3 linked regions of the Arabidopsis thaliana genome follow. The protein of the gene in region 2 purifies or fractionates together with the protein of the main gene of each other region. This does not show direct contact. Each region holds a gene or a part of one and is shown on either strand. Other genes may lie near its edges.

Evidence for each region.
Region 1: the proteins of AT4G08640 (region 2) and AT1G24510 fractionate together in Arabidopsis thaliana (co-fractionation; one large-scale study listed by BioGRID). This does not show direct contact.
Region 3: the proteins of AT4G08640 (region 2) and PAF2 fractionate together in Arabidopsis thaliana (co-fractionation; one large-scale study listed by BioGRID). This does not show direct contact.

The regions. Positions count from the first base shown.
Region 1 is NC_003070.9:8,682,760-8,691,650, reverse strand, and holds AT1G24510 (TCP-1/cpn60 chaperonin family protein), read left to right. Parts: upstream 1-3,404; 5' UTR 3,405-3,549; coding exon 3,550-3,748; exon of another isoform or gene 3,749-3,848; coding exon of another isoform or gene 3,849-3,888; exon of another isoform or gene 3,889-3,961; coding exon 3,962-4,280; intron 4,281-4,383; coding exon 4,384-4,732; intron 4,733-4,875; coding exon 4,876-5,008; intron 5,009-5,089; coding exon 5,090-5,142; intron 5,143-5,234; coding exon 5,235-5,337; intron 5,338-5,510; coding exon 5,511-5,677; intron 5,678-5,780; coding exon 5,781-5,894; intron 5,895-5,976; coding exon 5,977-6,147; 3' UTR 6,148-6,380; downstream 6,381-8,891. Other genes in the region: BCP1 (homolog of Brassica campestris pollen protein 1), read right to left, coding at 2,593-2,952; ALB4 (OxaA/YidC-like membrane insertion protein), read right to left, coding at 6,685-6,988, 7,068-7,298, 7,378-7,481, 7,657-7,764, 7,954-8,058, 8,148-8,221, 8,307-8,367, 8,611-8,685 and 1 more. UniProt on the Arabidopsis thaliana protein: Molecular chaperone; assists the folding of proteins upon ATP hydrolysis. Known to play a role, in vitro, in the folding of actin and tubulin.
Region 2 is NC_003075.7:5,510,515-5,516,931, forward strand, and holds AT4G08640 (ATP binding protein), read left to right. Parts: upstream 1-2,798; coding exon 2,799-2,933; intron 2,934-3,055; coding exon 3,056-3,189; intron 3,190-3,278; coding exon 3,279-3,412; intron 3,413-3,547; coding exon 3,548-3,660; downstream 3,661-6,417. Other genes in the region: AT4G08630 (fas-binding factor-like protein), read right to left, coding at 103-252, 412-564, 662-817, 898-1,053, 1,143-1,445.
Region 3 is NC_003070.9:17,315,926-17,323,713, forward strand, and holds PAF2 (20S proteasome alpha subunit F2), read left to right. Parts: upstream 1-3,193; 5' UTR 3,194-3,294; coding exon 3,295-3,645; exon of another isoform or gene 3,646-4,492; coding exon 4,493-4,975; 3' UTR 4,976-5,277; downstream 5,278-7,788. Other genes in the region: GAMMA CA2 (gamma carbonic anhydrase 2), read right to left, coding at 5,459-5,758, 6,376-6,527, 6,630-6,755, 7,016-7,159, 7,308-7,422.

The DNA.
Region 1 (8,891 bases), on a different chromosome or scaffold from region 2:
GGTAAGAAAATAATTTGCGGAATTTGTTTGATTGGTAAATAGATATTTAAGATAAATAATTGATAAACAAATATATTAGTAATATAAATTTAATTATAACTACATAATTTCATTTATTGTTAATGAAATAATATTTTCATCTAGTATCTTTTTAGAAATTTGTTATAGCTAAACCTATAATTTTCTTTTAAATTATTGAGTAAAAATTGACTAAAATGATTATTTTACAACTTGTTAATTGTCAATTACTTCTAGTAAACTGTTGTATCAAATCACTCATGTATTAGTTAGTGGTTGTTATTAAGTTTTTTTCTATTTTTATAAATTTAATAAAAAAAATCACTTTTTTTCTTTGTCAAGTGCGGATTTTGATTTGAACCGCTGCTCATTACTTGTTGGATAAATAAGTGCGTTTTCATTGATTAATGTTCTTACCTCAGAAAACGCAACAGTATTTTTTTTGTTTTCTGAAAAATAACGTAATTAACAAAATAACTGTGATTGGTGACATATTGAGGTTTTCCAAAAAAGCTATTCAAATACGCACTTATATATGTCTCCAATCAAGGCCTTAGGGTCGAATGGTGACAGCGTATTTGGCAGTGCGGGAAAAGCGGATTTATACTGCGGTACGGTCCAACTGCGGTACATGCGGGAGAAATATATTTGCGGTACAAGTGTGGTTTTTATAGCATAAGCGGTACGGAATAATGTTTGATTGGTAAGAAAATAATTTGCGGAATTTGTTTGATTGGTAAATAGATATTTAAGATAAATAATTGATAACAAAATATATTAGTAATATAAATTTAATTATAACTATATAATTTCATTTATTGTTAATGAAATAATATTTTCATCTACTATTTTTTTAGAAATTTGTTATAGCTAAACCTATAATTTTCTTTTAAACTATTGAGTAAAAATTGACTAAAATGATTATTTTACAACTTGTTAATTGTTAATTTAGTTCTAATAAACTGTTGTATCAAACCACTCAAGTATTAATTAGTGGTTGTTATTAAGCATTTTTCTATTTTCATAAATTTAATAAAAAAAAAATTACTTTTTTTCTTTGTCAAGTGCGGATTTTTATTTGAACCGCTGCTTATTACTTGCTGGATAAATAAGTGCGTTTTCATTGATTAATGTTCTTACTTTAAAAAACGCAACATTACTTTTTTTGTTTTCTGAAAAATAACGCAATTGACAAAATAACTGTGATTGGTGACATATTGAGGTTTTCCAAAAAAGCTATTGAAATACGCACTTATATATGTCTCCAATCAAGGCCTTAGATTGGTACGTTCGTAGGCGTTCTTATGGAATTTTAGAATTTTGTTTTAAATATATACCCTATAATTTGATAAGTATTTTTGAATTAACTTAGATATTTGTTGGAACAAAATGATTTTAAGTGTTGATTAGACTCTTGTGAGTGGTGGTTCAAGTTGAAATGAGGATATTTATTTTCTTTATTTAAATTTTAATGAAAATATCATAGAAGAGCAACATTCTCGAAAGTTTAAATATCTTGCAATAGGTGTCAAGTTCGAAAGAGCACTCCTATGCCTTTTGATCTCTTTTACTTTAAAATCATCACTTTTTACATGGTCATTTCAAAAACTTCTCTTTAAATCGTTGAACAATTTTTTTCTTTTCAAATAATAAATATCTGGACAGTCAGTGAATATGGAACTTTCTTTATCAAGTATGATATATGAATATGAGAATGATGCATTGATGCTTTGTATGGTTGGTTATTGATAGGAATACCCCAAATACGAAGTGGTATTTTGATAGATAAGACTAAAGAGATCCTAAAGAAAGAAAGAGATCGAAAAAGAAAAAGGAAAAAGAAAAAGAAAATAGGTATTATTAGTTGAGTTTAGGACCAAAAGTGCAACACACCAATACGAACCCGTATACACTACTACGCGTACGGCTCTTCCTTCACTCCTTGTATGGGTCCCTCGCTGAGCTTCTATAGTGGAAGCTCCCCAAACCCAACCATGAAATTGGCTCCTCATCACATTCACACCTTTAAAATTCCAATGTAATATATTTTCTTTCTCTGGAGACAAAACTTATTTTCAATCTAGTCTATTAGTTTGAGTTATTATTTGGAGTTTAAAAAATATGTCCTTTTCTTTTATTTGGTATTTCTATCCGAGAACACTTTGGCTGATTCTCTGGCAAAGGCTAGTCTTAAATCTTGTATCATCTCCTCTAGTGATAGAGAGTTTGAGTAATCTTAACGTCCCTAAATGCATAAATATATGCATTTTGATTAGGATATTTTTTTCTTGTTTTTTTTTTGTTTGCATTTTGATTAAGATTTATACACGATGGTTACAATTTTACTTAATTAATTATTATGGCTTTTGACCCCGAAATCGTATATTATTATATTCAATTCAGAATTTTGTATCTAAACACCGTTAGTGAAAAGTTTTTTTTTTCAGTATTATTACAAAGACAACGTTTCTCCTAACAAAGGAGAAACAAATTACAACAAGATCATCACAATCATCCTTACATATAAATAATCTTCGTTTAAAATAACCTTCTTATCATAAAACAATGCCCAACTTAGAGTAACAAGAAAGAACCAGCAATGGATGTAACACCAACGACGACCGCAGAGACGCCAAGAGCTGCCGCACCGCTTTTGGCAGAATCAGCAGAGCCTGTAGGCGCATTGTCGTACGAGGAGTCACTTCCTAGAGGACCAGCCACTGCAACGTCACCGTCACCAGGAGTAGGAGCTGCATCGTCATCGGTGGTTCCGATTTGGTCATCGGTGACTGGAGCCTCGACATGATCGGTTTTGGAGGCAGCTGGAGCTTTGGAGGGAGACGCTGAAGGAGATGGAGAGGAGGCAGCTGCGGCAAGGCCAATGATGGCCATGAAGACGAGGGCAACCACGACGACAATGTTTTGGCGACCCATTCTTCTCTCTCTCCTTCTTACGTAGAACTCGTTTAATTTATTTTAGGGTTTGAGGTTTATTGATTGTGATGATTTCCGAAGATGAGTTTGATATGTATATATAGTTGTGTTTTGTGATCAAGACCAAAAATAAAATAGAAAACGTTTGAACTAAGATGTAGGATTACCTTACAATCCAATGTAAATCTACTGGAGTACCTAAAAATGGACTTGTTCAGATATAGATTTTGATTGGTGAACATGCGAATGAATATGAAACCATTCGTTCAACTTCAAATCGTCGTATTAACGAGTGTCTTATTAAAGAACCAAATTATGATAGTATTGCCATGAACATTCTATTCATCTTATATCAGATGGGCTTTAAACCCATAAGCCCAAACGTCTTGTTAGGCCCATGAATCAATTCCGATTTACGATTCTGCCATCAACAGCGAGTTAGGGTTTTACACTCGACCACTTTAAGCTCTCAAATCTTCCAGACATTCTTCTTCTCGCTTTTTTCCCCATTTCAACTTTTTTTTTTCCTCTCCAGTGCACTAGGAAACAAAAAAAACCCAAGATCTATAGTTCGATCGGATCGAGAGAAGCTCGAAAATGGCGCTGGCGTTCGATGAGTTCGGGCGTCCGTTCATTATACTGAGAGAGCAAGATCAAAAGACTCGTCTTAGAGGAATCGATGCTCAGAAAGCCAATATCGCCGCTGGTAAAGCCGTGGCTCGGATCCTTCGATCCTCTCTTGGACCCAAAGGAATGGATAAGATGCTTCAAGGACCTGACGGAGACATCACCATCAGTTCGTTTCTTCCTTTTGATTTCTTCATATCTGCTTTTAAATTTCTAGTTTCGCTCTTGTTTACTTGGCATAGTGTTTACTATGTTGATGCCGTAGTTTGATGAATAGATCCATCTACTTTTTGAAAATCGATTCGCTATGTCTGTTAACTTAGCTCAGCTCTACTACTACTTGTATATTGTTTGTAACCTCGCCTTTGTTTTGCTTTTGCAGCAAACGATGGTGCTACGATATTGGAGCAAATGGATGTTGACAACCAGATTGCGAAACTAATGGTGGAACTGTCGCGGAGTCAGGATTATGAAATTGGTGATGGAACAACAGGTGTTGTTGTTATGGCTGGTGCACTTCTTGAGCAAGCTGAACGTCAGTTAGATAGAGGAATTCATCCCATTCGTATTGCTGAAGGATATGAGATGGCTTCTAGGGTGGCTGTTGAGCATTTGGAGCGTATTGCCCAAAAGTTTGAATTCGATGTTAATAATTATGAGCCTCTGGTTCAGACTTGCATGACTACTCTGTCCTCGAAGATGTAATGTTCCTTTTTGATATTCAGGCTACTTTTCAATAGTTGTTGCTTGTTTTTACTTGGTTTATAGTATACTGTCTTAACTCTTTCTTGCTCATTGTTACAGTGTGAATCGATGCAAGCGCAGCTTAGCTGAGATTGCTGTTAAAGCGGTTCTTGCTGTTGCTGATTTAGAGAGGAGGGATGTTAACTTAGATCTGATCAAAGTAGAGGGGAAAGTTGGGGGAAAGTTGGAGGACACTGAGCTTATTTATGGAATACTGATTGACAAAGATATGAGTCATCCGCAAATGCCAAAGCAGATTGAAGATGCCCACATTGCCATTTTGACTTGTCCCTTTGAGCCACCGAAGCCGAAGACTAAGCATAAGGTGGACATTGATACAGTGGAAAAGTTTGAGACATTGCGCAAGCAAGAGCAGCAATATTTCGATGAGATGGTACAAAAGTGCAAGGTAGGTTTTAATTTGTATTAATTTATATTGTCAGTTGGATGTTGAGTAAGCTACTGAAGAAATCCTTTTGACAATGGTCATTAGTACCACAATGCATTTTATGATATGATTTATGTATGACCCTTATGATTTTAACTTTGCAGGATGTTGGTGCTACGCTGGTTATTTGCCAATGGGGATTCGATGATGAGGCAAACCATCTATTGATGCACAGGAATTTGCCTGCTGTCAGATGGGTAGGGGGTGTTGAATTAGAACTTATCGCAATAGCCACAGGTAAGTAAAGTACTCTTAAGCATCTAATGCTAGTGTTTGTATCAGTTATGCAAAGCTGATCAGAAATTTTTCTTTTTGTAGGCGGTAGAATTGTTCCAAGATTCCAGGAGTTGACCCCAGAGAAGTTAGGGAAGGTATTTTTTTTACTTTCACTAGGTTTTGCTTGTAAAATGTTAATTAGATTTTAAACAGACCATTGAAACCCAACATTTCCTGATATATTTAGGCTGGCGTGGTTCGTGAGAAATCTTTTGGCACAACAAAAGAACGAATGCTGTATATTGAGCACTGTGCGAACTCAAAAGCTGTCACTGTTTTCATCCGTGGAGGTAATCGCCTTGTCTTTTGTACTTATTAGCACTTTAGCAGCACTGTTTTGACTTTTGAATAGCTGATGAGAGATAAACATCGATGTACTGAATCTAATGCCTTCTAAGTATATGGTGGACAACGATATTGTATAACTGATTGATCCAACGATTTGTTGCGGAATATGGTTTAGGTAACAAAATGATGATAGAAGAGACGAAACGTAGTATCCACGATGCTCTGTGTGTGGCTAGGAATCTCATCCGCAACAAATCAATTGTTTATGGAGGTGGGGCAGCTGAAATCGCTTGCTCACTTGCGGTTGATGCAGCTGCTGATAAATACCCTGGCGTGGAGCAGGTAAAATATGATCTTTCCTCTTTGATACCCTGAAATGAAATCATTTGTTTCTCAAATTGTAACTCTGAATACTAATCATGTATAAATACTTCCTCATTTACAGTATGCAATTAGGGCGTTTGCAGAAGCTTTGGACTCTGTCCCTATGGCTCTTGCAGAGAACAGTGGATTACAGCCCATTGAGACACTCTCTGCGGTTAAATCTCAGCAAATTAAGGTTAGTAAACGACGAACTTTATTATCTATATCATTGACTTGCTTGTTCGGTGACTGAACAAACATTGGGTTTTGATGAACAGGAGAATATTCCCTTCTATGGAATAGATTGCAATGACGTGGGAACAAACGATATGAGGGAGCAAAATGTGTTTGAAACATTGATCGGGAAACAGCAACAAATTTTGCTAGCTACGCAAGTCGTTAAGATGATTCTAAAGATCGACGATGTCATCTCCAATTCTGAATACTGATTTGTTGCTACCTTTGTCCTAACCTTTGGCTTCTTCGGTGTTTTTTGTTTGCTTTCTATTAGCTTTTGATACCCTTCGACATCGTTATCCTTGACTTGTTCCCTTTGTTTTGCAACCTTCTATTTAAGAACATCGTCAGATCTTAATTTTTGTGTGTACTTGTCCACAGATCGAAGCACTCGTTTGCATTTTCTTTTCGATTTAGTAACTGATGCAGGTCTCATACTGTAGACTAAACTATTATCGTATTAGTGTAACACCAGTGAACGAGGACAAAAGTAATTGTTTGCTTGTACATAAGAACATAAGAAATATGAAACCAAGCTTCGAAGGCTTCAAATACCCATCTGCTATGGTCTTTGTACACAAAATCTAAACCCTGAAGACTAATGTTTCCCACTCTTAAGATCTATAAACTTCGAAATCTGTTGCAGAGGGACTACAAGGCCTGAGTACCAAGATTTCTCCTCGTCTTATTCAAATCTCAATTCCTCTTTGTTTGTTTGGCTTCGCCTTAAGACATGAAAACATGAGTCTTTACCTCTTCTCTGTTTCATGAGAATGCTGTTGTTCTGTATCATGGCCAATGCCGAATGTCCCATTCGTAGTCTCGTCCTTTTGAATGGATGGCTTCCCATTCACAGCTACTGTGCCATCGGATGTTTCATCCACAGCAGAAAGTTCTGTTTTTTTATCATCTTCAGCGACAATGGCTGTATCAGATTTTTCATCTTGTTCATGTGCTTTGTCTGTATTTTGATTAGATAGAGCTGCTTCAGCTTTCTGCCTCTCTTCTTTTTCTCGACGTCTCTTTGCTTCTTGCTCTTTCAGCAGCCTAAACCTGGGATCACATGGACGTGTTAGTACAAAAAAACAGCTTCTAGGAACGAATGATGACACATTTTAGAAGATTTGGTTACCTTTCACCAGGTTTGGGGCATTCTGGGGTCACCTTTTCACCACCCTTCTCTCTTGGTATTTTCAGTTCTGAAACAGACTTCTGAACTAGTGGTTCTGAAAAAGACTTCTCAATTTGTTGTGTTTTATCTTCCTTAGTGACCAAATTAGTGAATTTCTCCACTGGATTCTTAGCACCACCATATTTTTGAAGCCATACTTGCTGTGCCGTGCTCAAAATGTTGTTGGTCAGCCTGCAAAAACACTTTAAAACTGAGAAGAATAGCGAGTGGAAGCTGACCACTCACGAAAACCACAGAAAATTAGACTCACCAATAAAGACTTAAACCAGAAGGAACTGATAATGCAAAATAGCCAATCATCAGTGGAAGAAGCTTAGTCACTGCTTGTGAGCTCTTCATGGCTGGATCATTACTCTGACAAAAAATGATAAGAAACATAAATTTCTCTGTTGCATAGAAGGATTTCGTTGTTGATTGAATTATACTTTAATGGAATGAGCTTTCAGCACAGGCACCAATGTGGTACACATTTTCAACATAGACGTAACTACTAATAGACTATTATCACATATTCCACATGATGCTATACCTGCGAGGACTGCATAATTTGAATGGAGAGGTATTGAGAGAAGACGAGCAATAGAGGTAAGACAAGATATGCTAATGTGTCTGGCCATCCGAGAGGTGGGTGTCCCTCCTGAGAAATAAAATGGAAATTTGTAGACATCAGCGATGAGGTCCGACACCACTCCCCTCAAGTTTTCTTCAATAATTCATTTTAATCAGTTTTATATGCTTGAACAATTAAACTGAATAAGAGTTCGTAAGAACTATGAGTCTAGTCTAGATTCCATTTTCGAAATATCAAGTTTCAAATGATACTTACAATGAAAGGGAACAGCCATGAGATTCCACTGCCATTCTGTCTTGCAGCAACAGTCGTTGGACCAGCAAGAGAAGGTATCCAGAAAAAACCTTCCGTTAAGAGCCCCTAAAGTTAGAAACAAGCATCCAACTACTTGTCAAAAAAGAATCTCAAGGCACTTACAGATACAAAAGGATATAGTTATTTCCAGGTACCTCATCTGCAACATTTGAGAGGGCTCTATATAGCCCAATCCAGACAGGTATCGTGGCTAGTGTGGGGAGGCAGCCTAACAGATAAATGAAAATATAGCTTAACCATAAATGTTGTCTCAAATGGAAAAACATACGATAAGCTGAAGTAACATACTGTACCTGCAAGGGGATTTATTCCAGCAAGCTTATACAATCTAGCAGTTTCAAGCTGAATTTTCTCCTGCAAAGATAAACAAAAATAAAGAAGCTATTTGTTTAAACAAGAGGGCTATATTCATACATAGTAAAGCTATAATATTTGTTATATTCATTAGTATCCCTCCACAATTGTGGAACCAATAGCAACACACATGTTCTTACTTTTTCCTTAACTCCATCAACTAAGAATTGATGCAAACATAACTTAGTATAGCATCAGGACAAATAAAACCCATGTGTACAGTATAGAAGAATTGTTTTTCACCTGATCACCAGCATACCGTTCCTGAATAGCCTTTATTTGAGGCGTCAAAGATTTCATAGCCATGGCAGATTCAACCTGTAGAGAATAAACCACCAATTCAATAACATGGACTAAAAATGATATCATGGCTTAGCAGCAATAGAAACAAACTAAAAACCTGTTTTTTCGTCAATGGGAACGTAGCAGCCTTAACAAGCACAGTCAATAGAATGATAGCGAAACCATAGGAATAAGGAACATGTACAGTTGATAACCCATCTTTCAAAACCTGCAATCCAATT
Region 2 (6,417 bases):
CATGTACTAGTTCAGGATTCATATTAGAGGGGACATTATAGAGACTAAGTTCAAATAGAGAAAGTATCAATGTGAGACAGAATAGCTACGAACTAAAATTACCAAAGGAGTGCGAGGTCTCATTGATCGTCCACCTGCAAGTCCAATGCTTGGCATGCCACTAGTATACGACTCATCATAATCAACATCACTTTCTCCATTGGATGGTGGCTGAGCTACTGCATGTGGATGCCTCAGTGGAGGGTTTTTAGTCTGTAATACACAAAGTGAAATATCAAGTTTAACGAATAATAACTAGCAAGAACAGTAAGGATATCAAAAATTTCACTACTAGCAACATGACTCTCAACATTCTTATAGCTGATATACAAGTACAAGATTCAAAATGAGTGTGTTTAACAAACTAATTACCAGAGGAGAACGTGACCGTGCAGCCCTTCCACCAGGAAGTCCTACACTTGGAATGCTGCTTGTATAAACATATGGAGTCTCATCATCTTCGTTATCCTCATCTGCTCGCTGATGAGCTGCCATCACCGGACGCCCTTGTGGTTGGGTTTTGTTCTGTGCTTTCCAAAATATTGAAATTTTGAGAAATAGTTAAAATATGAAAATAATAATAAAAACCTAGAAACAACAAGTTTCAAGAGTCGATCAATACCATAGAAGATTGTGGCCGCATAGCCCTCCCACTTCCAAGCCCAATACTTGGTCTACCAATTGTATAATCTATAGAAACAACATCATCATCATCATTACCGTCATTCTTATTTCCTTCGTTTGTTGGTTGTGTACGTCTCGGAGGTGCAATCTTAGTCTGCACCAAAAGAGTAACAACATATGAAAGCTGAAACCAAGATACACTTGGCAGGCAAAAGAACTTAAAACTAGACTGACCATCACAGGAGACTGAGGTCTCATTGCTCTTCCACCAGGAAGTCCAATACTTGGTCTACTGCTCGTTACATCCACTGAAAAATCATCATCCTCATTGTCCTCATCAACTAACTGTGGAGTTGCCATCTGTTGACGCCTTGCCATAGGATTCCTAATCTGTCAGTCCAGAAAACACTATCACATAAAATCCCTACATTGCAAAACCCTCATTACAGTGAAAAAGTGAGTCTGTTAATTTTAATTACCACAGGAGAGCGAGAAGGATGAGATCTTCCAGCTGCGAGTCCAATGCTCCCTGTTCCGATAGCATTATAGTCAAAGGAAAGGTCTTCATCACTATCTTCCTCGTCCCCTGTTTGATTTGACATCACAGCCGCAAGTCTCTGAGCAGCTGCTTTTGTCTGAGCTTTCTTAGCATTCGAAGCTGGCCCAGCATTTGATCCTGAACGTGTATGACGATGCATTAGAGGAGACGTCATCATAGGCGAAGATGGTGTTCCTGGTTCCGTACTCTTATTCCTAACATGAATAGGTCTCGTGTTTCTCATCGTCAACTACAAAAATTAAGCACATTGATTTTCATCATCACATTCACATCAATGGCAGTTTGATTGGAACTAAAAATTCCACACATTGAATTAAAAAAATAGTTACCAAATTTGTCAAAATTTTGGAAATCACAGAAAAGTGAAATCCAGAAAAATGGAAAAAGAATTAAATGCGTGAATTAAACAGAACCTTACAAAATTAGATTCAACAGAAATCTCAAAGAATGTTTCAAAAGAAAAAGCAATGAATAAATTTGCCATTTATGGCAGCACATATTTCTCTCTCTGACTGATCTTCGGTCATTTAGCCAGAAATTGCGAGTGGCTTTCAACGGTCGGATTGAGAACAGTTTCTTCTTTAATTATTTATACTTTCATCCCCAATAATTTATTATTGTTATCGATAGTACCTAAATTTATTTATTTTATAGTTTTCATCCCACGATTGTGTAATAATTATCCAAAGTACCCTTTTCCAATTATAATAGCATTATCATCTTTTTGTTTATGGTTTAGGTACAGTTTTTAAAGTTTTCTCACGGTTTGTAAAATAGAAAAAGGAAAATCAAGTAACTAAGAGATATATTATTTGATTTGATAGTTAGCTCGTAATTGTTTCGTCTACCACAACGGCATATAGAAATTTATATTTCTAGTTATGACTTATGATCAGTGATTATAGCATATGTTGTATGATAAAAAATATTTTTCATATAGTTTTTATTTCTTATTAAATTATTAATTACTTATTAGGCAATACATATTTTTTCATTTATTACTTGATATCTCTAACTTTTGCTCTCTTTGTAATACGTAAGTGTAACTTATCTCTGTGTTGTTTTTATGCTTGGCAACATCAATCCTTAATAAGATAGATGAGCTTTTTATCATATCCGAAATAGCCTCTAAGCAGCAGAAAGATGAAAGAGATGATTTAGCCATTCCTTTTGCTAGATCAATTCTCAACCATAAAGATTCTTTGAAAGAGATGAGACTGATAACATTTCGGGATATACAAAATCCTTGGAAAAGGTGAATGATGCGTCCTTATTACTATTTATTATTTCTAGAGTTAAAACATAAATATCATATTTGTTTTTTTGTTCGGTAGGCTCTTGAGATACTTCAAGAACAAGTTAAGATATCTGAGAGACTATGGTTGTGCAAGAGACTTTTCTTTCCCGAATGAGGATGATAACTAGCAAGCAGTTTAACCAAAAAAGTTTAAATTCTTTAGTACTTGAGGTATTTTATTCATGTAAGATTTTTTTTATTATTTCTCATTTCTTCAGTGTTATTGCAATAGAATGGTTCATCTGTTTACAGGTATGCTCTTAAGTCCTAACGAATGCAATGACCATGAACATTGATGATGTCCATGTTGCCAAGATATTGGGAGTAGACTCTCGCAAATCTTGCGTTGTCTGTGGTATCGTCTTTAAAAGTGACGATGTAGGTAACATTAGGCATCCTTTGAAAAATGCAAAGGTGAGACCAGGTTGAACAAATCTTGCATAACATGGCATCCTTTGTAACTGTCTTTCTCAAGGATGGTTGTGTTTTTAATTGTTGACTATTTTTCTCCTTTATTTTGGGTTCTAGTCTTCTAGGTACATAACTTTGGAAAGTCAAAGGAAGCCATGCTTGAGACTTTGGTTAAAGATATTGCTTTTTCCAATGTAAAAGTTATTGTTAGTCGGTCATCAATTTGTGAAATGACACTACGTTTCTGCAAAATTTACAAGTAAGTAATCTCTAACATTTGAACCTACTTTGAATCATTTTTTCTGAACCTTTTGATAAATACAGTGTTGGCAATACCATTTTTTTTAGGATAATGGTTCTACAGATTTCTTCTGACATTGATATTAACAGTTTATGTTCAATAGTTGGTGCAATTGATTCATCTCAGCATTTCCAACCTCATCATCTTGGATACATGGATTCTACATCATTATCAGAGATTGGTAATTCCTCAACAATCACTTTGTGTGGAACGAAATGGAAAGTCTTAACCAAACAACAAAGCTACATTACTCATGGAATCAATACATACAATTTAATACTTGTATATTTACTGAATTAGTTATTCTTGTCTGTAGCCAAGAGAGCTGTAAAGAAGGCAGAGAGAGATGCAGAGAGGGCTGAGAGAGCCTCTCAGAAGAAAGCAGAGAAGTTTAAGAGTAAGCTCCAGGCTGAGAAAAAGAAGGATTGAAACTAGATCAGATAATTGATGTGTTTCTTTTTATCATGTAATGAATGACTTAGAGTAATGTAGAGATTATTGTTCTTAAAAGGTTTGCGGGAGCTGTCTTCACTAAAGGTAAAAAAATCTTAACATGTGAACTCTTTTTGTCGACTCTATCCTTTTTTAGAAGCAGAGGTCTGTTATTAGATGATTATTTAAGAGACATTTTTGAAGTATTTGCTCTGTATAAAGGATCATGAGGCATTTTTTTGTCATGTCTCAAAAATAGACGGAATACATTATCAAAGTTTATATATTTATAGATTATAATGTGTAAGAAAGCAATGTACAACCATGTCTAACGCATAAGCCCCAATAACGTAAAAGCCAGCACCTCTTCAGAACAATCTCTTCCTAAAGAGAGCTCCAGATGAGAAACTATCGATTTAAAAAATACACTAGATGGAAACAAAAAGTATGAACCTTTAAAAATACTCCTCTCGAGTCAATATCAATCTATTAGTCACGGTCTTAAGAGAGTTAAGCTCGAATTCAACTTTATAAAGGTGCTCTAACGAAGATGTTGCCTCCTCCCTAGCAATCTAAAACGATTCCAAGATCTAAGGTGTTAGTACAAATACCCGTAAGAACAACAACATATCAAAACTTGAAGTACCTCAGCTTCTGTGTGAAGAGCCAAAACATCTACCCTCCTTCCTCCATGATTTTGTGATGCAACTCTCAAAGCAGCCTGAAAAGAATTTGGTTCTATGGATTATGCTACTTTTTTATAGGCCAAGATCTAAACTAGAATCATAAAGCCTCATGGAACTTTATAATAAAAAAATAATGTATGAGACCATGTAGATAAATGATAAGACACTAACCTCTCTCTGAAGCAAGAAACACATTCACAGAATTAAATTTTTGTCAAAGGTTATCCAGAATTTAAATAGAACGGAAGCTTACCTGCTTTAAAGACGTGCGTTCATAGTAACACCTTCTCCAAGGATTTCAACCTAATAAAAATCGGTTTTGAGTTTACAAATGTGATAAAATCTCGAGGTAATGAAACAATATAAACAGTACGTAAGAAGAGATTTGTATGATATACTGAGGCATGAACCACCTGCATACCTGTTTCTCAAGTTGCTTAGCTCTAGCATCTGATTCTTCACACTTATCTTCTGCAAGTCGAAGCTGGGGATGCACAAATTAGGATGGGATGCATACCATAATAAAATTGTACAAGGATTATCTAACTTCAAAACAAATCTTGTATATTAATACACATAAGATTGGCAACAACTATGATAAAATGATAGGCTAGTCCAAATAAAAAATTCAAATTTGCCAGTGTAATTCAATGATAGCTTAATTGTAACAAATCAAGAGATTCTTTTCAGGAAAAGATGTCATCAAATGAAATTGAGTAACTAATCCATACTGACACCAAGTGTGAAAATTTACTGGCATCACCTTTTCTAACTACCTTTCATTTTCTTCATATAACATTTGAATTTTACATCAGTTTCCATAATCTAACTATAAAAATAATAATTCAACTTGATATCTATTTGAAATTTAGTTTGATTCTTGATTTGATCTATATGACTTGGAATCCTTGTGTCTGAATCAGGGGCGGATCTACATTAGCATGAGATAGGGCACGTTCCCCATACTACTTCTTAAACTTTAGCTAGTAACAATTGATTGGTTATATCTTTTACATCATTTAGCAATAAGTGCCCTATGCCACATCTTAGATGCAGTGTTCGATACCCCTGTGTACAATGTTTTTGGCTTTTATTCTCTTTATTTTATATTTGTTTTCCACATTCTTGTTTAGCGTCTTCATGTAATTAGATGCATTTTTCTTATTCATTGTTATCGTTTTTTAAAGTAAAACTATGTTCTGCTGAAAATAAACAAAAATAAAAGTATTCTTTTTCAGTTCTATTTTTATTTTTGTAATTCTAGTTTAACTTTAACAAATTTGAAGTCATAACTATTGTAAAGTATACCTACATTTTAATTAAAAATGATAATAAAAACTAGGGAATTAGTAAACAATGCTATATCATGTTCTAGTCAATTTAATATTTAAAGTTTCAAGTAAATATAAATAATATTATATATATATATATATATATATATATATATATATAAGTTACATTTTTGTAGTGAGTTGTACTTCTAACTATGCATCTTTCTAATTAAAAATAGTGTGTTTGGCGATGTCAATTTAAAAATATATTAAGGGTGACAATGTATAATTAATTTAATATTATAAAATAGTTCTTAATATGATTATTATGTAAATCAAATATCATTAATCATATGTTATTGTGCCCTACATAAATTGTTTTCATGGATCCGCCACTGGTCTGAATATTCCAAAAATTTCTAAAAGAGTTTATAATTATTATGGATGGTTAAGCCAACTATGTTATAGTATTAAGACCATCTCCATTGAGATTTTCTCACAATTAAAAATAAAAAATTATTAAAATGAAAGAGAGAGTGTAGAAAACTTTGAGATACTCTCTACAACTCATCATGATATTTTTCTTCTTACCATTGGTTTAATTTTTTAATTAAAATAAAATTTAATCATAAAATCAAATTATAATAAAATATTATTTTTTTTTTTGTTTGAGAAACTATTTGGGTTTCTCATTGATGGAGATGCTCTAAACTATACTTAACACATCGGGAAAGTGCCTATAATCAAATGGCTAATTAATTGTCTATTTCTACAGCTTCTTTTACTGGAACTAGGAG
Region 3 (7,788 bases), on a different chromosome or scaffold from region 2:
TATAACACTATCACCGCATTTAAGGCAATGGATACATATCAAATATTTTCCTACGGACTCTTTACATTGTCAAATCGCAAATAAAATGTGCCGACTAGATTATATAGCAAGTTGCATACTAATGATTACTGCTATTACCAAACATTTCATGTAATGTATGATCTCTACAAGTTGATACTTTGCCGAGGCTATAACCCAATACACAATTTCCAACTCAGGCCTATTCTTTTCATACCGCGTTTGCATATAGGAATTACATGAGTTGTTTTTAAATAACGTTCTATTTTACAGTTACCAATGACCTTTTTATCTGTTAGTCTTCATTAAATAACTAGTCGCATACAAAGTAAACATCTCTATATATATGGTCCGTTTTTGGCATATCTAGTGATATAAGTTAGGGTTTAAATATCAAATGCATCTGTAATTGAAAGTATGTGGTTTATAGAATTAAAAAAAAAAGAAGGAACAAATACATATATATATATATATATATATATATATATATATATATATCGTGTGTTTTATAAATAAAGCGGATTACTCATTACCTACGCATGTTTACGTTCTCATTAGTAATTGAAATCTATAAGTTATGTGGCTCATCCAGAACAACGCCATATATAGATGGCGTGTGTTTTATAAATAAAGCGGGTTACTCATTATCGTGTGTTTTAAATGCTACTCATCTCTCCTGTTATATGTGGAATCTTTTGCTACGAAGTAGGGCTACAATATATTAAGACATTTTCCGCAACAGTGCTTACAAGCTTTTAAGCCACATAATATTGAATAATTATGATTTCCCTCCAAACTCTCGAAGGGCTGCTAATCGATGGAATCTGTCGCTTCTGTAAATGTCGCATCAAACATATAACTGAATTGTATTTGAATTACATGCATAACCACAATAATTCATGTGTTTTAACATTATCGCAGACGTCATGCGCGACGTGTCGTTTATCTGGTGGATGCTTAGTGGTTATCCTATGTTATATTTATACGAAACACGTTGTTTTTGGAATTTGTTTCACCCCTTCCCCCAATGCAACATTGGAACTCGTATATAACACTGTCGCCGCATTTAATGCAATAGATACGTATCAAATATTTTCCTACGGATAGATTTACATTGTCAAATCGCAAATAAGATTTGGCGACCATATTATGTAGCAAGTTGCATACTAATGATTACTGATATAACGAAACATTGCATGTAATGTATGATCTCTATAAGTTGATACTTTGCCGAGTTTATTGCCCAATACACAATTTCCAACTCACGCCCATTGTTTTCATACAGCGTATGCATATAGGAATTACATGTGTTGTTTTTAAATAACATTCTATGTTACAGTTACCATTGACCTTTTTATCTGTTAGTCTCCATTGAATAACTAGTCGCATACAAAGCAAACATCTGTATATATATATGGTCCGTTTTTGACATATTTAGTGATATAAGTTAGTGTTTAAATATCAAATGCATCTGTAAAATCTAAAAGGTATGTGGTTTATAGAATTAAGAAAAAAATGAACAAATACATCTATATATATCGTGTGTTTAATAAATAAAGCAGGTTACTCATTATCTACGCATGTTTATGTTCTCATTGGTAATTGAAATCTATAAGTTATGTGGCTCATCAGGAACAAAAACATATATAAATGGCGTGTGTTTTATAAATAAAACGGGTTACTCATTACCTACGCATGTTTATGTTCCCTACATATAGACACCTAGTGTCGGAACTCACGAGTTCCCGTCTATTTTTCCAGGTTATTTTGGTTATTTTACACCCCAAGAAAAAACTATTTACTAAAGTTTTCTGACGTATGACTATTTTGCTAATTTGTATGTCGAATTTGGCTAGTTAGCTAATTGACACAATTTTAATACTCTTTGTTTCCAACCAAATAATACAAGATTTTATCAAAAACAAAATATCAAATTAAAAATCTAATAACATGTGACTTTATTTGTTTAGATTTCTAAATTAATTTTATTCCAAACCAATTTAAACTACACATGCTAAATTATTAATTTTCATAAAATTAGAAATAATAAAATACAATAACTTGTAATTCCCTCTAGTCCATGAAGTTTGATGTTTTAAATTTTACTTTTGTTTCACAAAAGTTGATGTTTTAAATTAATATTATTTTCATTAGTGATCAATAGAGAAAGGAAAAAAAGTAGAACTGATATTATTAAATTAATTAAAAAAATAATAAATGAATTATAAACACGAGAGGGAGGCAAGAAAAAACTACTACAACAAGAGCACCATCATCGGAAAATACTTCATGGAGAAAACCGACAGTTTCTTTTGTCAAGTGCAATTTCGATGCGGACTTACACAGGAATAGTACTTAAAGTACGGGTGGATGGATTATACGAGACCATGAAGGGATAGCAAACACATGAGGATCTTCAATTTTAGATCATGTCAACACTCTCCTAAAGGCTGAGACGAAAGCGTTACTTGTGGCGATGCAACAAATTTGGATACAAAAATACAAGAAAGTACAATTCCAAAGAGATTGCGAAGTCCTCATTAAAACCATCAATGGCAAGTCTAATAGAAGTAAAATTGCTAATTTACTTCTAGATTTAGAGTATTGGTCTTCAGATTTTCATCTATTGTATTTACTTTCACAAAACGTCTTTGTAATAGTATAGCTCACCATTTAGTTTTCCTAATTTTACGATTTTTGTGTTTTAAGCGGACTATTTTGCTTCCCCAATTTTTACGATTTCTGTGTTCAAAGCAGACTTTAGGAACGAGCCAATTTGGTTCAAAAACCTTCTCTGTAATGATCTACATTCATAGATTAAAACATAGTTTGCAGTAAGAAAAAACAATAAAAATAATATAAAAGTTATTTTTTTTAATTTGTGAAAAATCCAAAATATCATTGTTTTAGGATCAGAGGGAATAGTAAATTTATAATCAGTGTAGTGAAAAATGTGTAAATAAATAATGTAAAACCAATTGAAACTGCAAATGTTAAATTATGAATTAAATTAATTACTATAAAAAGAAATAATATAATGCTAAGTATTTATTTATAAAATTATAATCCTTTTAAATGTGTAAAAAATAATAAAGAGTAATGGATAATTAAACCCAGCCCATTAAGTTTCATAAGCCCATTTTACTCTACTGTCTTCTTTCTCTTTTTTTTGACAATCTTTACTTTCTTCTTCTAAGCTCTATAAGAGAGACCATCCTCCTCTAGCTTGAAGCAAACGAAAAGCTTTTGAAGAACAGAGGAACAAGAAGAAGAAAGATGTTCAGGAACCAGTACGACACAGATGTGACAACATGGAGTCCCACAGGTCGACTATTCCAAGTCGAATACGCCATGGAAGCTGTGAAACAAGGCTCCGCAGCAATAGGACTCAGATCTCGCTCTCATGTCGTCCTCGCTTGTGTCAACAAAGCACAATCAGAGCTCTCTTCTCATCAAAGGAAGATCTTTAAAGTCGATGATCATATTGGTGTTGCTATTGCTGGTCTCACTGCTGATGGTCGTGTTCTCTCTCGATATATGAGATCTGAGTCTATTAATCACTCTTTTACTTATGAGTCTCCTCTTCCTGTTGGTCGTCTTGTTGTTCATCTTGCTGATAAAGCTCAGGTAAATTGAGATTTTTGGGTTAACTTTTGAATTTTGACCTAGAATTTGCTAAAGGGTTTAGTTTTATGATGTGTGAGTATCTGAAAGTTTGAAGCTTTATGTAATTGGAGTAAAGTTTAGGTTTTTATTAGCAATGTGGCCAATTTTATTTGTAGAATGTGTGTGTTGTTATGCAAGTAGTGATATTGGTTTGTGATCAAGTCTTAGTGATTGGGAATTAGAGATTCTTGTGTTGTTAATCATATCCAGTTCTGTTGCTAGTTGCTTAATCCGATTAGAAAGAGTTAACCTGTATACCCACTTTGACGATAGAAGTGTATAAGAATGTGATGATTTTGGTCGTTTGGTTGTTTCTGTGTTGTCATCGTCTGTTCTCTTTGCTTGATAGAGTTGTTTTTGCTTGCAATTCTAGAATAAATATACGTCTTTGTTGATCTCTTTTTGGTTTTGTGGTTTTGACTTGTATTACTTTGCATTTGTTTACTTACTTGTAGTTGTAGTATGTCCTGGCCACTTTATTTACTTGCCTAATGAAGTATATTTTCAGTAAGATGTTGGTTTACAGTTGTGATAGAAATTTGTGCTACATGTTCACTACTTTTGGTGTTAAACGTAGTGTTCTCAAGTTAGATGATGTGTTCACAATTTTTAAAAGGTTTGATTGCTACGTCCCACTTACTTTCATGTCTGTCAAAAATTAAGTTAGCTGCTGTATCTACATTTTCAATTGATTTCTGAGAACGTATTGATATCAGTCTTGTAGTTTGAACAACACTCTGATTTCATTCAAATGTTAAGTCATTTGTTTGTCTTGTATTAAACATCTTCATAAATTATCTTTGAGCAGGTATGTACCCAACGATCATGGAAACGGCCTTATGGTGTGGGTTTGCTGGTAGGTGGATTGGACGAGTCAGGAGCTCACCTCTACTACAACTGCCCTAGCGGAAACTACTTTGAATATCAAGCATTCGCTATCGGGTCTCGTTCACAAGCTGCGAAAACCTATCTGGAGCGCAAATTCGAGAGCTTCCAAGAATCATCAAAAGAAGATCTGATAAAAGATGCTATTATGGCCATAAGGGAAACTTTGCAAGGGGAAACACTGAAGAGCTCGCTCTGCACTGTTTCTGTTCTAGGAGTCGATGAACCATTCCATTTCTTGGACCAGGAAAGCATTCAAAAGGTGATTGATACGTTTGAGAAGGTTCCTGAGGAAGAGGAAGATGCTGGTGAGGGTGAGGCCGAACCCGAAGCTGCTCCTGGTGCTGCTGGAACTGGTGAACAAGGTGGTTCAGGTGATCAAGATGTTGCACCAATGGAAATTTGAGCAAGAGGGAATGAGTTCAAAGTTGGATTTTCTAACCAATTTTCTTGTGTGTAGCTCTTTGATATGTTCCAACTTCCAAGTACAATTGTGGTTTTTATTCGGCTTTGTTTATTTAACAGCTTGGAACAAGGAGTTATTGAGTGCCACTAGCTTATGTTTAGTCCTACTTAAGTCAAATCTGTCACATGATAATAATAATCGGCGAATCGCCAACCTAGAGAGTGTATCAAACAGACACCATTTTGAATGAGAGAAACAGCGAGAGAAAGAATGAAAGATTAATCCAACTTTGTTTCTCTTTCTGCAAATTGTTCCTCGAAGAAATGACTTCATAATGCAACCATACATTATTGAGCAAGGATGATAAATCTCCTGCTTGCTCGGAAGAAAAGTTAAAACCAAAATAATATCTCTCTTGACCTTCCAGAGAATCAATCCTGTCTTGAAATGATTTCAACACACAAAAACAACCTGAGATTGGAATTAGAAGTACTGAGTAGACGGAACCTTGGCGACGGGTTTACCACCTGGTAAGACATTGTCGGGAAGAATCAACTCCGGTGGAGTTTCACGGGTAATCCCAAGCATTGAATCGTAATCCTCGTCCTTGCGTGCATACTTCTTCCTAAGCGCTCTCTCAACCTCGATCTGCTCAAATGACTTTGAATTCTCTGAGGCGTGAATCTGTGCGAGATTGATGTAATTCTTTGCTGACTGTGAGATGTATACTATCTCTTCATCTGTTAACTTTCTCATGAACTTTGCTGGATTTCCTCCCCACACCTGCCACATGAAACTGATAACTTATAGATATGTCCTTGTAAATATATTCTCAGGTTGACGGTTGAAGAAAGTAGTTCAAAAGCATAGCGATATAAGAAATCCGTCTAATTCCTCATAAAACATTGGAAACACAAGAACCCTCTGTTACTCCCAACTCACCCTTGTTTCATATACAAGTAGAATTGCAACGGAAACAAAGGTGGTTCTCAGATTTAGACGATATATAAATACTATTTACTCTTCTTTTTGATCAAAATATAATACAATTTACAGGCATATCATTTCATTAACTAATTCTGTATCAACTAAATTGTAAGCAAAGCAAAAGTGGATCTACTTGAAGAAGTTCAGCTGGTCAAGCCTTAGCTACAGGTCAGCGTAGGACTAAATGCAGCAGACTACAGCTGCTATTACTTGGTTAATTAGCAGTTCGTTATTAGGCTTGGTAGAGCTTCAGGGTCCGTGATAAGTAAACCTAGCTAGAGTTCTATTTTTGGTTCTTGATACTTTGGATTTTCTCGTTCAGTTTAGTGAGAAATAAAGCAGTTTCCAGTTCCAGTCTTATCACAAACTCCGTAAGCAGTAAACCAGAAAAGATAAAGTGGAAAGAAAGAAACCTCTCCAGAAGGGATTCGCGTGTTCTGTTTCACAAGAGAACCAGCAGCAACCATGGCATGTTTCTCAACCACCACACCATCAAGTAGTGTTGCTCCCATACCAACAAAAGCATCATCCTCAACAGTACACCCATGAATGACAGCACTGTGACCTGCTCCGTTTCATTTTACAAACAAAACCTTTAACTAACAATCGTGTAACACAACATAAAAACAGATACTTCAAAACTGATAAATCGCTTTTTAAGGTTTACCTACTGTTACATTGTCCCCAATCAGAGTAGGTAGAACCTTGCCACTTATGTTGGTCTTTGCAACATGTACAAGCGTATTATCTTGGATATTCGTCCCAGATCCAACACTGATGTTATTCACATCACCTGCACAAGTTAGAAACCCAGATTAACATACAATAAGTTTCACAGCTACTTCATGACACATTTTATCGACAGTACAATAAATCTATGTCCAATGATCAGGACAGTAACGTATAACAGCGATACAAGATTATTAGAAGGTAAAGAGAACTTCATTTCCTAAAACTAAACTATGACTACTTTGCACAATATACTGCTGCAAAATTTGGTACTTCTATCGAACCAAAGGCCATTAAGACTTTCTAGAAGTAATAAAGCCTCACCTCGAAGAACACAGCCATACCAAATCGACGAGCCTTTTCCGATCTGAACATCACCAATAACAGAAGCACTCGGAGCCACAAACACATCTTTATCCACCAATGGTGATTTATCAAACACATTCATCAACGTCCGATGCCTCGACACTGAAAACAAACACAAATTTCTCGAATCAAATTTTTTCAATCTAAGCCACAAATTTCTCCAATCAAAGGTGAAGACACAAATTAGAGATAACGAATTGGATCTAGGGTTTCAATAGAGAGTATTAAGTGGAAGGATCTGGAAGCTTACGATGTTCCTCGATACGGTGACTTCCTTGAAGAAGAGAACCAACGCGATCAAGAGCTTGACCAGTTCCACGAATCCAGTTACCCACAGTGTAAATTGCTCGTCCTAGGGTTCCCATTTTTTTGTGATTCTCCGATTACCCAAAGTGTGAAAATGAGAAGGCTTTGTTGTTTTTGGTGTCGCTCCACCAGATAGAGAGAGGTTTATGGAGGCGTATTGATGGGAGGATTTTTTTTTTTAACTCGAGTGAGTTCGTTTATTTTGTTGACCTCTAAATTTTTAGAGTATGGAGTGGTAACTGGTAAGCTAAACCAAACCGAAATTTATTGGTTGGACTTACAGAGATTGTGAATACAAAATCCGGATAGATTCGTTTTGCAATGTAAGGAGATGGAACAAAGCTTTCAGGAGACAAACACAAAAATGAGTAAAATAATTAATATAATTTAGCAAAGAAAATAAAGAGATAAAAATAGAGATATTA